Saccharomyces cerevisiae S288C: one gene and its partners. The protein of the gene in region 1 purifies or fractionates together with the protein of each later gene. This does not show direct contact. Each region holds a gene or a part of one and is shown on either strand. Other genes may lie near its edges.

What was found.
Region 2: the proteins of SEC65 (region 1) and SRP68 purify together in Saccharomyces cerevisiae (affinity purification with mass spectrometry; 5 studies listed by BioGRID, with this or other methods). This does not show direct contact.
Region 3: the proteins of SEC65 (region 1) and SRP54 purify together in Saccharomyces cerevisiae (affinity purification with mass spectrometry; 5 studies listed by BioGRID, with this or other methods). This does not show direct contact.

The regions. Positions count from the first base shown.
Region 1 is NC_001145.3:57,242-60,627, forward strand, and holds SEC65 (RNA-binding signal recognition particle subunit SEC65), read right to left. Parts: upstream 1,447-3,386; coding exon 625-1,446; downstream 1-624. Other genes in the region: orotate phosphoribosyltransferase URA5, read left to right, coding at 1-212; MDM1 (Mdm1p), read right to left, coding at 1,698-3,386. UniProt on the Saccharomyces cerevisiae protein: Signal-recognition-particle (SRP) assembly has a crucial role in targeting secretory proteins to the rough endoplasmic reticulum (ER) membrane.
Region 2 is NC_001148.4:86,664-90,845, forward strand, and holds SRP68 (signal recognition particle subunit SRP68), read left to right. Parts: upstream 1-1,853; coding exon 1,854-3,653; downstream 3,654-4,182. Other genes in the region: YPL245W (uncharacterized protein), read left to right, coding at 1-287; UDP-galactose transporter HUT1, read right to left, coding at 351-1,370; IQG1 (Iqg1p), read right to left, coding at 3,959-4,182. UniProt on the Saccharomyces cerevisiae protein: Component of the signal recognition particle (SRP) complex, a ribonucleoprotein complex that mediates the cotranslational targeting of secretory and membrane proteins to the endoplasmic reticulum (ER).
Region 3 is NC_001148.4:710,747-714,801, forward strand, and holds SRP54 (RNA-binding signal recognition particle subunit SRP54), read right to left. Parts: upstream 2,283-4,055; coding exon 657-2,282; downstream 1-656. Other genes in the region: transcription factor SUA7, read left to right, coding at 1-392; YPR089W (uncharacterized protein), read left to right, coding at 2,529-4,055.

The DNA of each region.
Region 1 (3,386 bases):
GCTCCATAATTGCTCTTGATAGACAGGAAGTTGTGAGTACTGACGATAAAGAAGGACTCAGCGCCACTCAAACTGTTAGCAAAAAATACGGTATCCCAGTCTTGAGCATTGTCTCCTTAATTCACATAATTACCTATTTGGAAGGCAGAATAACAGCAGAAGAGAAAAGCAAGATCGAACAATACCTTCAAACCTACGGTGCCTCCGCTTAAAAATCAGTTTTTTAATTAAATGATTTATTTATCTCTTTTAAGAACTATTAATCTTAGTTACTACGATACATGCACGCCGCTCATCTATATATGTGTATAAATAGCGTATATTCACACACATATATATAGAGCGAGAGAGTTTTCTTGTTACTTTTTTCTGTGTTTCGGTACCTCTTGCCTGTAGCTGCTTCAAAACTCTTGGCTTATTGAACTCTGTTTCAACTACAGACGAAATAATACGAATAATTGATTTGTCTTGATGTAAAAATTTAAAAGCTGATACAACAAGTCATTTAGCACTTGATCTGAACAAACATCATATTCTTATAGTTCTGCTATTATAATCTATTAATATATTAATATATTAATCTCAATATACATATACATATACATAAATGGGTAAAGGAGACAATCATCTTCTAACTACTTTGTACTTATTTTTTGGTGGCTTGAACGACTTTTCTGCCGCTGTAATCTTAGGAGTTTCGTAAACAGATTTTGTCATTGGGTGGCCCATCAAGAACGGACTATGCAGCGGAACAATCTCATTCATTTTGAATCCCTTTACACGTGGAATCTTTTTGAATTCAATATTGTCGAAATCAGGGCCATATGGAATCTCCCTTAAAGATTCAATAGTAGTTGGATGTCTTTTCATATACTCCCCAACAGCTTTCATTAATTGCCTCTTTCCACCTTTGAATTTAGTGGCTGCGCCAATTAATTGTCCATTTTCTTTGAAAAGTACACGAATTCTACCAGGATTACCAAAATCTTGTGGGTGACATTTTTCACCTTCAAAAATGCATAATATTCCCAATTCACGGACAGCATCTGCCATAGTTTTAGCCAAAGGATTTTCAACAGCCAACTCCTTAGGAACCCTTCTCCCTTCCTTATGTGATCTGTTTATGTCAAAGTAACATGGATAGAGTACTTGGAATCTTTTGACTTCTTCTAAATCTTTCTTCGAAATAGCCTCCGAACGTTCAACCTTACCAGTTTTTGGGTTAATAAAACTCAACTGCTCTTTTTCGTTGCTACTATTGTTGTTGCTATTACTGTTGTTATTCGTGCCAGGTAAAAATGCAGGGTTCTCTTGGTCCTGGCTCCTTACAACCTTAGGCGTTATCTTGGGAGCGATCGGCGTCCTCAAAGATGGATCTAACTCGGCCAATTCCATATCAAGGTCGTCGATATCATTGAAATCGTCAATCTCTTCTAATCTAGGCATTTTGACTTTATGATACTATAGCTTATGGCTTATTTTATTTCTTTTGATTTCGTTAGTTGCTAGCCTGTTGAATATCATTGATATTTTTTTTTTTTTCAGATTACAAAAGCGTGAAAAATAAATACTTCCCAATTGTTTTAAGAAGAAGTACACAATTTTTAAAGCGGCTGAAGAAGTGTACCAATTTATTTGCTATTGTGACAATTACACTTTTTTTTTTAGATTGTTCGGTACTTAGTCAAGTTTTATTTTCAGTCATTACATATTATGTCCAATAAAATTGCATCAAGAGCTTCCAACAGTAAGCTGGCATTTAAATACGGATTCTGTAGCATGGCATGGACCCGGCCAGCAGCTTCATGAGAATCTCTTAGACCAACTACACGACCACAAGTGTCTGCGAAGAGTCTTTGCAAACTGGTTAAAGCGAGTTGTTCCGTCCGTAACCTTTCACCTTCGCTTCTTGTTGCCTCTGCCGTTTCATTTCTTTTTCTTTCGAACAGACCGTTATCACCCCATAGCATATTCTTGAATGTAACTATTGCTTCAAATACTTGATCCTCTGATCTCAATTTTTGAATGCTGACCTTTATATACTTTTCAATAGTGCTCCCAAGAAGCTGTTGTAAAACGGTAATTATAGCCCTTCCTCTTAACCAACCCGCGTTGGCCTTATTTAAAGCAAAGAGCGAAATAAATAAGTCACATATCTGTTTAACAAAAGATTTATTTTGCGAATAAAAAGGATAGCCAGAATCGGTGAAAAAATGTCTTTCATCTTCATAGAAATTCAATTCACCGCCGTCTTCAGAGCTTTGTAAATCAACAACAGAACTGCTATTACTTGTGCTATTACTACTACCAATAGGTTCATGAAGTGGCTCCTCCAGAATATCATCATGCATATATTCCTTGTTCAGTTTGAATGGGGTAGGATCTGTCAAAAATCTTCTGAAAATGTTATCTTCGCATATTTCAGAAATAGATAATAGTTCTCGCAAGTACTTTTCAAGTTTTTGCTTTCGTTCCTCATAAAGCAATGTTTTTGTAACATGATATTTCAATGACATTTTCACTTTTGACGGGAACAAATCTTGCAACTGCCTCATCAGATCCCTAAAATTCTTTTTCAAATATGTATTTAATTCAAAAAATTCATTATATCTCCTTGCCATATCCCAAGAACTTACCTGCCCATTGTTAAAATGATGGATATTGATGATATAATAAGTTATTTCTTTTAGGCCATTACTAGAATTCTCACTGAAGTACGACCTAATGTATATCTTAGTTTTTCTGAACAAACTATTACCATTTTCTTGTACCATATATTGCTGTTTCAACAGTTCCTTCATTTCTAGTTCCTTTAATAGGGTTCTTTGTGACTTTTTTAAAATTTTCAACTGCATTTGATTGTTGGTCAGATCTGCCTTCAAAATCAAATGCCTTAAAAGTTCAAGCTCTTTCTCAATCTGATCAATTGAAATAGTCAAGGATGCTATATTATCCCTAAAGTTGTTTGACCCATAAAATTGGCTAGGATTTAGGCCTGAATTCCCGCTGGAAACACTTACTTTCTCCATATTACGTGGGTGATCCAACTGATCCTCGACAACAGAAATTTCTGAGGTATTATCGTTTTCATCGTCGAAGAGTTTATCTTTGAAAATGTTGTCATTTTCTGAACCAAAGAGCTGAGAATAACGGGGATTTGAGCTTATTCTTGATTTATGCGGCTTGGATCCCGATCCATTCACTATATTATCTAAAGCATCTGTGATGCCGGGGTTTGCGAATATTCTGACAGGATTCATAAAATCAGTCTTCACATTATCTTTTATTATTTTGTTTTGTTCTGGATTGTTAACACCACCGATTCTACTCAGAAAGTGAGCATATATATCAGTCGAAATGATGTGGGACGTTGAAAGCATTTTGAG
Region 2 (4,182 bases), on another chromosome or scaffold:
GTAGTGTGTATACTATCCAAGGGTTTGATCTGAATTATGCTGGTGTAATTTTGGGCCGTTCCATTGGGTATGATGCGGCTAATGACTGCATCAAACTAAGACCAGAGCTGTATGACGATAGGGCCGGTTTCACCAAAAAGAAAAACATTCACAATGCAGAGGACGTTAAGCAAAAGATTATTATGAATAGCATTAATGTCCTCTTAACTCGTGGCGTGCGTGGTCTGTATGTTTATGCATACGATCCTGAATTAAGAGAGAGACTGCTTCGTCCATCAAAAAAATAGGAAGTACATAGTATAGACAAATTTTATAAATATTAACTTTTATTTGTTGCGATCTTCACTAATCTACGCAGATTTTGCCTTCGGTATATTAGCCTTCTTCTTGTTGAGTGCTTCCCAAGTGATTCCACCAAATACTATAAACATCCCCACCCATTGCTGGAAACGTACACTCTTACCGAAGACAATAATACTCAAAATCATCGAGACCATTTTCCTGGTGACTGTTATCATGATCAAAACTAAAGAGCCAAATTGTTCTAGAGTATAGAAAATAAAGCATTGTCCCATAGCGCCACAGAACGAATAAAGCATTAAATAGCCCCACACTTGTGGGTCCATCGTCAATACAGAAACGGCATTATCCCATTGTTTGCAGTCGATCACAATAAAATACAAAATATTCCACAATATCACGAAGAGGTTCAGTGTAAACATCAAGTGTGCACCTGTTATCAAAGTTTGTTTTCCCTTTTCTTTGGCCTTATTGGCCTTTAGTAGCTTATCTTGGGTGGCGTTGGTCAATCCATCAAGGAATAAACTAGAGAAAAGTAGTCCAAACCCTTGTAATTTGTTATCATTTCCGCTCTCATTAAAGGATCTCTTCAACTTTTTACCATCGTTGCCACCTATAGTGAAAATAGTGACACCGAGACTTACCAAGAGAGCTACAACTTTTTTTTGGCTTGCTATGGGCGTCCTATACAAAAGCAAATGCACCAACAACACGGGGATCATCTTGCATGACTTTGCTAACATGTAAGTGAGATAATCCACGTGCTTTAAAGAAGTTGTAGCCAGCGGGCCTGAACTACTCTGTGTAAATGATATCAACATCAATTGTTTCCAATGATCTTTAATCATTTTTCTGGGCGGATATTCCACCTTCTTCCAGTTTAAGTACAGGTAGCCCATCATCATTGCCACAGAAGCTTGTATGAGGGATATTACATTAGGGAATTGAAACTTTCCCATGGAGTTTGGCCAGGTTCTTGTAGCCAAAGGCTCCTGTACTAATGCCCACGTCAAAAAAGTAGCATATATACCAATCGCACAGATCACCAAACTGGATGTACTTCCCGCCATACAAATATACGAATACTGCCTTGTTTACTTCTTCTTGTTACGTTGTAATTCTGGTTCTAATTACATTGCTGTCATTTTTTCATGTTCGATGGGATCTACAAAACAACCTTTAGAAGCGATCTCAGGGAAGCTTTGGAAGAGAAACAGCTGATGATTCTGGCATTCCACAAACTACAACAACGAACCAAACGACATATTCCATTGCAGTGATTTGATTGGGAGTAAGCTTTTATAAACGAGCAGACCAATATGATTTACGTAGTATTTCGTTGTCTTTACCACATCGTTGTTCGTGATAAGTTCTGAAAATTTTTTTTGGAGTATATTTGCTAGAGTTAATCCAACAATATTAGCATAAACGAGCAGCTGGAGACTAGGTTATTTGAATTATTTGAGCATCAAAGTGATCAATTGTATTATATTACAGTGTAATTTTCTTTTTTTCCATATTGAATCAAAAACTAGCCACGCTTGAAACTAAAGATGGTTGCCTATTCTCCAATCATTGCCACCTATGGTAATCGTGCAGAACAGTTTTTAGAAACAGACTCAGACTTCGCTAAGTATCATGCGAAATTGAATAAAAAGTTGCAACACTTGAGGAGCCGTTGCCATTTGGTCACCAAGGATACAAAGAAATACTCAAGTAAAAATAAGTATGGCGAAATTAACTCCGAGGATTATGATAATAAAACTAAATTGATTGGTGTTTTGATTTTACTACACGCTGAAAGGGACTTGGCACTGGCTGAAACTTTGAAATTGAGAGCTCGTCAAAGAGGAAAGTTAAAGAAAAGTGAAGAAAAGGTTTTATCCACAAGATTGAAGAAGGCCTGCAAGACTGCTGATAAATTGGTTAACGTCACTCAAAATGAACAGCAATGGATAACTCGTGCCCAATATTTAGCGTTCGCTAAATTGGTACATTCAGAGTACCTAATTAATGGAAAAAGGTTCAAGAGGAAGGACAATGCCAAAATTTCGAACAACCTAGCCCTCGTTTTCGCCGCATTGGAACACTTGAAGAATCTAAGCTTATTAGCTGAAGAAGTTGTAGATAACATTGTTAATAAATACCAGTACTCTCTCAAGCAGTACGCGGGAAATTTAATTACAACGCCCGAAATAAATAACTTTATCGTGGAAAGAGTTCAATCTGATGAGAACAAGGACGATGAGCTTGTGAAATTGTTATTAGACAATGGATTCAATATGAAAAAAATTACAACCTCAACTGAAGATCAAAAGGTTACCACTAACATAAACTGGAGATCTTTCAACGCCAAGATAATCGATGCTGAAGTTGCTCAATTTTTGGAACAAGGTCTATCTATCCACCCAACTCAGATTACTCAATATACACAGAGGCTATCAAAATTGGAGAAAGCTTTAGACCGTCATGAATTTTTCATCGCAAACCACGACGATCAAGATGACATAGACGAGATGGTTGAAAATAGTTCTGAAAACAATCAGATAATTTTAGCCTACATTAAATATAATATTCTTTTGACCTCTATATCTCGTGAAAGAGATTTGTTTACTCATTTATGGAATCAATGGCTGAAATTAAATACTTCATTACCATCGAAGTTAACCAAATATAAAGAAATGGAACGTATTGTGAAGAATTTGACAAAATATTTATCGGACATAATGGAGCTACCTGGTGTGTATTCAGATGACGAGCTGCTAAGCCAATTAGACTTATGCAAGCTGTATTTCCAGTTATTTCTGAATACGGGCTGCCTGAGTGTTTTATATCAGTCGAAAGGCAGATATATGGAGGCGTTAGCTCTATATGTGGACGCTTACCGAAGATTAGAAAACAAATTATCTGAAATTGAATCTCTAGACGAAATCTTACTTCCAGCAAATCTTTTGTCATTGAATTCTGTCCGAAGCTTACAAAAGAGAATCGAAAACGGTGGTAATAGTGTCATTACTTTGGCGGAATACGAAAAAAGAAATCATGGTGGCAGCTTAGGGAAATATGATTTGACAGTGATTGAAAAATTGGATAGTAAAAAAATACTGCCAACGGACATACAATTGAAAAATTTATTCCCTCTCAAGCCAAAAATGCTGCCCATTCCTAGTAAACCAACACTTTTTGATTTGGCCTTCAACTACATAACATATGATAAGCAAGAGCCCTCAGCTTCTCAAGTGAAAGATTCAGTCACAGAAACCGAGAGCATCTCTCAAACACCAATTTCTAATGAGCAGACGGAAGGAGAGCCTAAAAAGAAGCGTGGTTTCTTGGGCCTATTTGGTCGTTAATATTTTTCTAGTATGACTGTATTTATAGTACTATATAGATTATTCCATTTAAACAAATGATGATTGCCAACTATAGTAGCCAAATAACGAAGTGCATTACTTAACACATCTTATTTTTATCTACTGAAGATATCGCCAAATTACAGCACATGCTAAAAAGAAGATGTTTAGGGTCCTTTACATAACTATACGTTAAATTATTTTTGCTGCTGAAAATAAGGAAAATAAAAACAAAGATAAAAATAGAAAGAATGGGAAAATTTAGTAACAGCTTTTGCCCAATATGCTCAAAACCGAGTTATCTATTACAAAGCGTTCCTTTTATAGAAAAAACTGACAATCAAATGTAGTAATTGGCTATTGTTAACAACAACGTTGGAATGGAATAATTTCCACGTCTCGATTTTTGGTTCAACTTGAGTCTTTATCAAGTCTTTAAATGAGAAAGAATCGACATCATCCGAGTATCGTTTATCGGGCCCTTTTCTTTTGTCAATCATTTGAATACCGAATCTAGAACCATCCGATG
Region 3 (4,055 bases), on another chromosome or scaffold:
GCAAGAGCGAAGATGGTTTCTTGAAGATTGATACCGATAATATGAGTGGTGCACAAAACCTAACTTATATACCCAGGTTTTGTTCGCATCTGGGCTTACCGATGCAAGTCACTACTTCTGCTGAATATACCGCAAAGAAATGTAAAGAGATCAAAGAAATTGCAGGTAAATCCCCTATTACTATCGCTGTTGTTTCCATCTATCTAAACATCCTGCTCTTTCAGATCCCTATTACCGCAGCGAAAGTGGGCCAAACCTTGCAAGTTACTGAAGGTACCATCAAATCTGGTTACAAGATACTTTATGAGCATAGAGACAAGCTTGTGGATCCGCAGCTTATTGCTAATGGTGTAGTGTCTTTGGATAACTTACCGGGCGTTGAAAAGAAATAATGAAGTGATAAAACAGTAAATTATAGGAACAAGAAGCACGGGTACTCGTGTTAGAGGGTAGAACCTTTTCCATGGCAGTTCAATCGAATATTTATTTTGTTATTTTACAATTCAAAAAAATAGAATGAACACTTTATAATTTAACAAGATTTTTCTTTTTTTTTTTATTGAAGGAGGTATTCGAAAGGATGAAAGCTAAACAAGTTATTTGAAATATGCATACATACATATATATATATACTGTGTATATTCAAATGGTGGCCTTTAGCCCATACCGAATTGTTTTGCCATTTGTTGCATTTGTGGATCTTGCATCATTTTCATCATTTCGTTCATATCAGGCATTCCTCCGCCCATTCCTCCGCCCATTCCGCCACCAAACATGTTCATCATATTTTGCATTAGACCTGGATTTTGCTTCAGCTTTTGTTGTGCCTGCTGCATCATTTGTGGAGTCACTTTTGGCATACCAGGCATATTCGGCATACCAGGCATGTTTGGCATACCCGGCATGTTTGGCATGCCAGGCATCCTAGCATTGGCACCAGGGGCTCCTGGTTGTTGCTGGGTTGCGGTTTGTGCCATTCTTGCCATCATCTGCTGTTGCATCAATATCATTTCTACCTCGAACACAGAAGTACCTGAACCTTTAGCTACACGAACCATTCTTGTAGGCTCTTCAATGAACATTCTACCATCAGATTCTAGTTCTTCTTTAGTCATAGAATCCAAAACGTAAACCATTTTCTTCATCTTTTGAGAGGTTTCCTCCTCCCCTACTTGATTCATCATATTACTCATACCAGGAATCATCTGCGCTATATTTGATAATGGACCCATTTTCATTATTGTTTGCATCTGTTTCTTGAAATCTAGCAAGGTGAACTTACCCTTTTGGATGTTTTCCATTGTGGCTTTTGCATCTTCCTTGTTGGAAACGGTTTGTAATTGCTCAAAGAGACTCTCTATATCACCAATACCCAACAGTTTAGATATGAATGACTTAGGCGAGAACTTTTCCAAATCATGAATGTGCTCACCTGTACCAATAAAGATAATCGGAGTGTTTGTGGCTGCAACGGCCGAAATTGCCCCACCCCCTCTAGCGTGGCCGTCCATCTTGGTTAATATAATGGCACCAAAATCGGACGATTCTTTGAAAGCCTTGGATTGTTGCTCTGCAGCTTGACCAATGGAAGCATCTAAAACCATGATAGTTTGATTAGGCTTGATGACATTGGATATTTCAATCATTTCTTGGAACAACTCTTCTTCTTGATGATGCCTACCTGAAGTATCAACGATGATGATATCAAACTTCTCTTTCTTAAACTTGTTAATACCTTCTTCTGCAACTTTGGCAGGGTCAGTCTCCGTATATGACCCATAAAATGGAATTCTTGCTCTTATAGCGTTTTGTTTCAATTGGTCAAATGCACCAGCACGGAAAGTATCCGCACATACCAAACCCACTTTGAAACCTCTCTTCGAGTAGTAAACTGCTAACTTGGTACAGGAAGTAGTTTTACCTGAACCTTGCAGCCCAACAAACATGATGATGTTTGTCTTTCTCTTCTTGGGCACAAAGGCCTTCTCTTCACTACCTTCGCAGGTGACCAACTTACACAGTTCATCAAACACCGTTTTCTGAATAAGCTTCTTAGTTTGTGCGTTTGTTGTGGACTTCTCACTACGGTTCTCACTCAGCAGCTGTGACCTTATATTATTTCGTAACTTAGAAACCAGGGCAATATTCACATCCGATTCTAACAACGCAGTCACGATGCCCTTTAACATTACATCTACGGATGTAGTAAAGTCATCCTGTGTATTGGAAATCGCGTTATTCACAGCAGAATTAATCCGCTTCCCCAAATCAGCCAAAACCATCCTTTAGTTAGACTCGATGCTGTGTTTTCTTTCCCTTCTCTTCTGCATCCTTGCTGTTCAACCACTTTTCATTATCTTGTTTTACCACTATTTTTTTTCACTTTGTTGATGTCTTTATCGTTAGCGGTGATTTTTCGATATTGAGATGAACGAAAAGACCATCATACTATAACAATATGGGTAGTGACTGAAGTATAGGAGAGCCGCAATTGCCGGTCTACAGAACTCACAAGGCATTCGTGAACAATGAACAGTGTTTGGGATGATGCTAGAATAGAGGACAGAACGGTGGACAAACCAGTAGGCTCCTCTCACGCTCAGGAGAAACTCGCGCTGGTAAAATCAACTTTGTTTAAACTTGACCAAGAAGATAGACCAGAATGCGATTCCTGGGTACAACTAGTCAAATTGATCTGCGACGAAGACCGTGAAGAAGAATTTACTACATTCAAGGAGTTATTAAGGGAAGTCAAAAACGTTAATGATAAATCCGTCACAGGCGTTGCCTTGATTCATTATATCATTGTATTTGATCGTGCAGACTACATTGAGTTACTACATGATAATCCTTCTGGTGCAAAATTAGATTTGAATCTTGTCGACGACATTGTAGGTTACACACCTTTGATGTGGAGTTTCAGTCTGCAGAGAAGGAACTGTTGCTTGGAGCTGTTCAACGCATTCGACGAGATAAACTTCAACATGACGAATAAGGCTGGATTAACCGCTTGGGATATGGTTCCTCCATATTCACCACTTTCGGAATTTTTGGAACAAAACAATATGTTTCGATACCGTACCGAAGTAAAACATGAAATACCTCAAATTTCCCAACCGAAAGACACCTCTCTTCTAATGAGTAATGAAGACTCTACCACGAAAGAAACTTTTGATAATATTGACTTACAAGTCGCCGGTTTGACCCTGTCCCCTGGTGCAAATGACAACATGTTTCTGGATTCTGATGAAAAGAACATGAATCATTCTCAGGGAGCTGCAACCCTAATAGATCCCACATATACAGAAGACTACCACGGTACATTTGATTATGATAAACTATCTCCGGACCAATACTTGGAATTTTCCGACTTTGATATACCACAAATCCTGAATCTATTGATATCGCTACCACAAAAGGAACCTCACATGACCACCTATCCAGCTGGTTTAATATACCAATGTATTAGATATGCTGATCATAAGATAAAGTCCAAGCCACTAGTAGAATCGTTAATTAACTTATCTCTAACAAAAATTCTGACCAGTGTTTCATCCAACGGAGCTGCAGGATTGGTCTCCACAGAAGCTTCTTTGCAAGCAGGTGACATTGTATTGCAATCGTATTGGTTAAGTTGTTTATCTTTTCTCTATTACTACCTCTGTAGAGATGATTCATTTTTCAAGAGGCATCCAAGCGTGTTACAAGAGCTGATTAACACCATCCACTCTATTATCATAGAACTGACATCTTCCATTCATTGCAGGTTGATTTCTTTGATAGATTCAACTTTACTAGCATACACAACAATCCAGGACGTTAAACAAACTTTATACAAAAGAGACTGGAACTTTTTTAAAAAGAGAAAGCAGGCCAAGCTTTTATTGAAGGAAAAGAACAGAAAACAATTAAAGGAACAACAAAAGAAAGAACTTCATCGAAAAAGCCAGGGTCAAGAAAATCATGAAGAAGAGGAGGGTCAACAAGATGGGAATGATTCAGATGATAGGGCATCAACAAATGATGATAACAATTCTAGTGTTTCACTCTTTTAT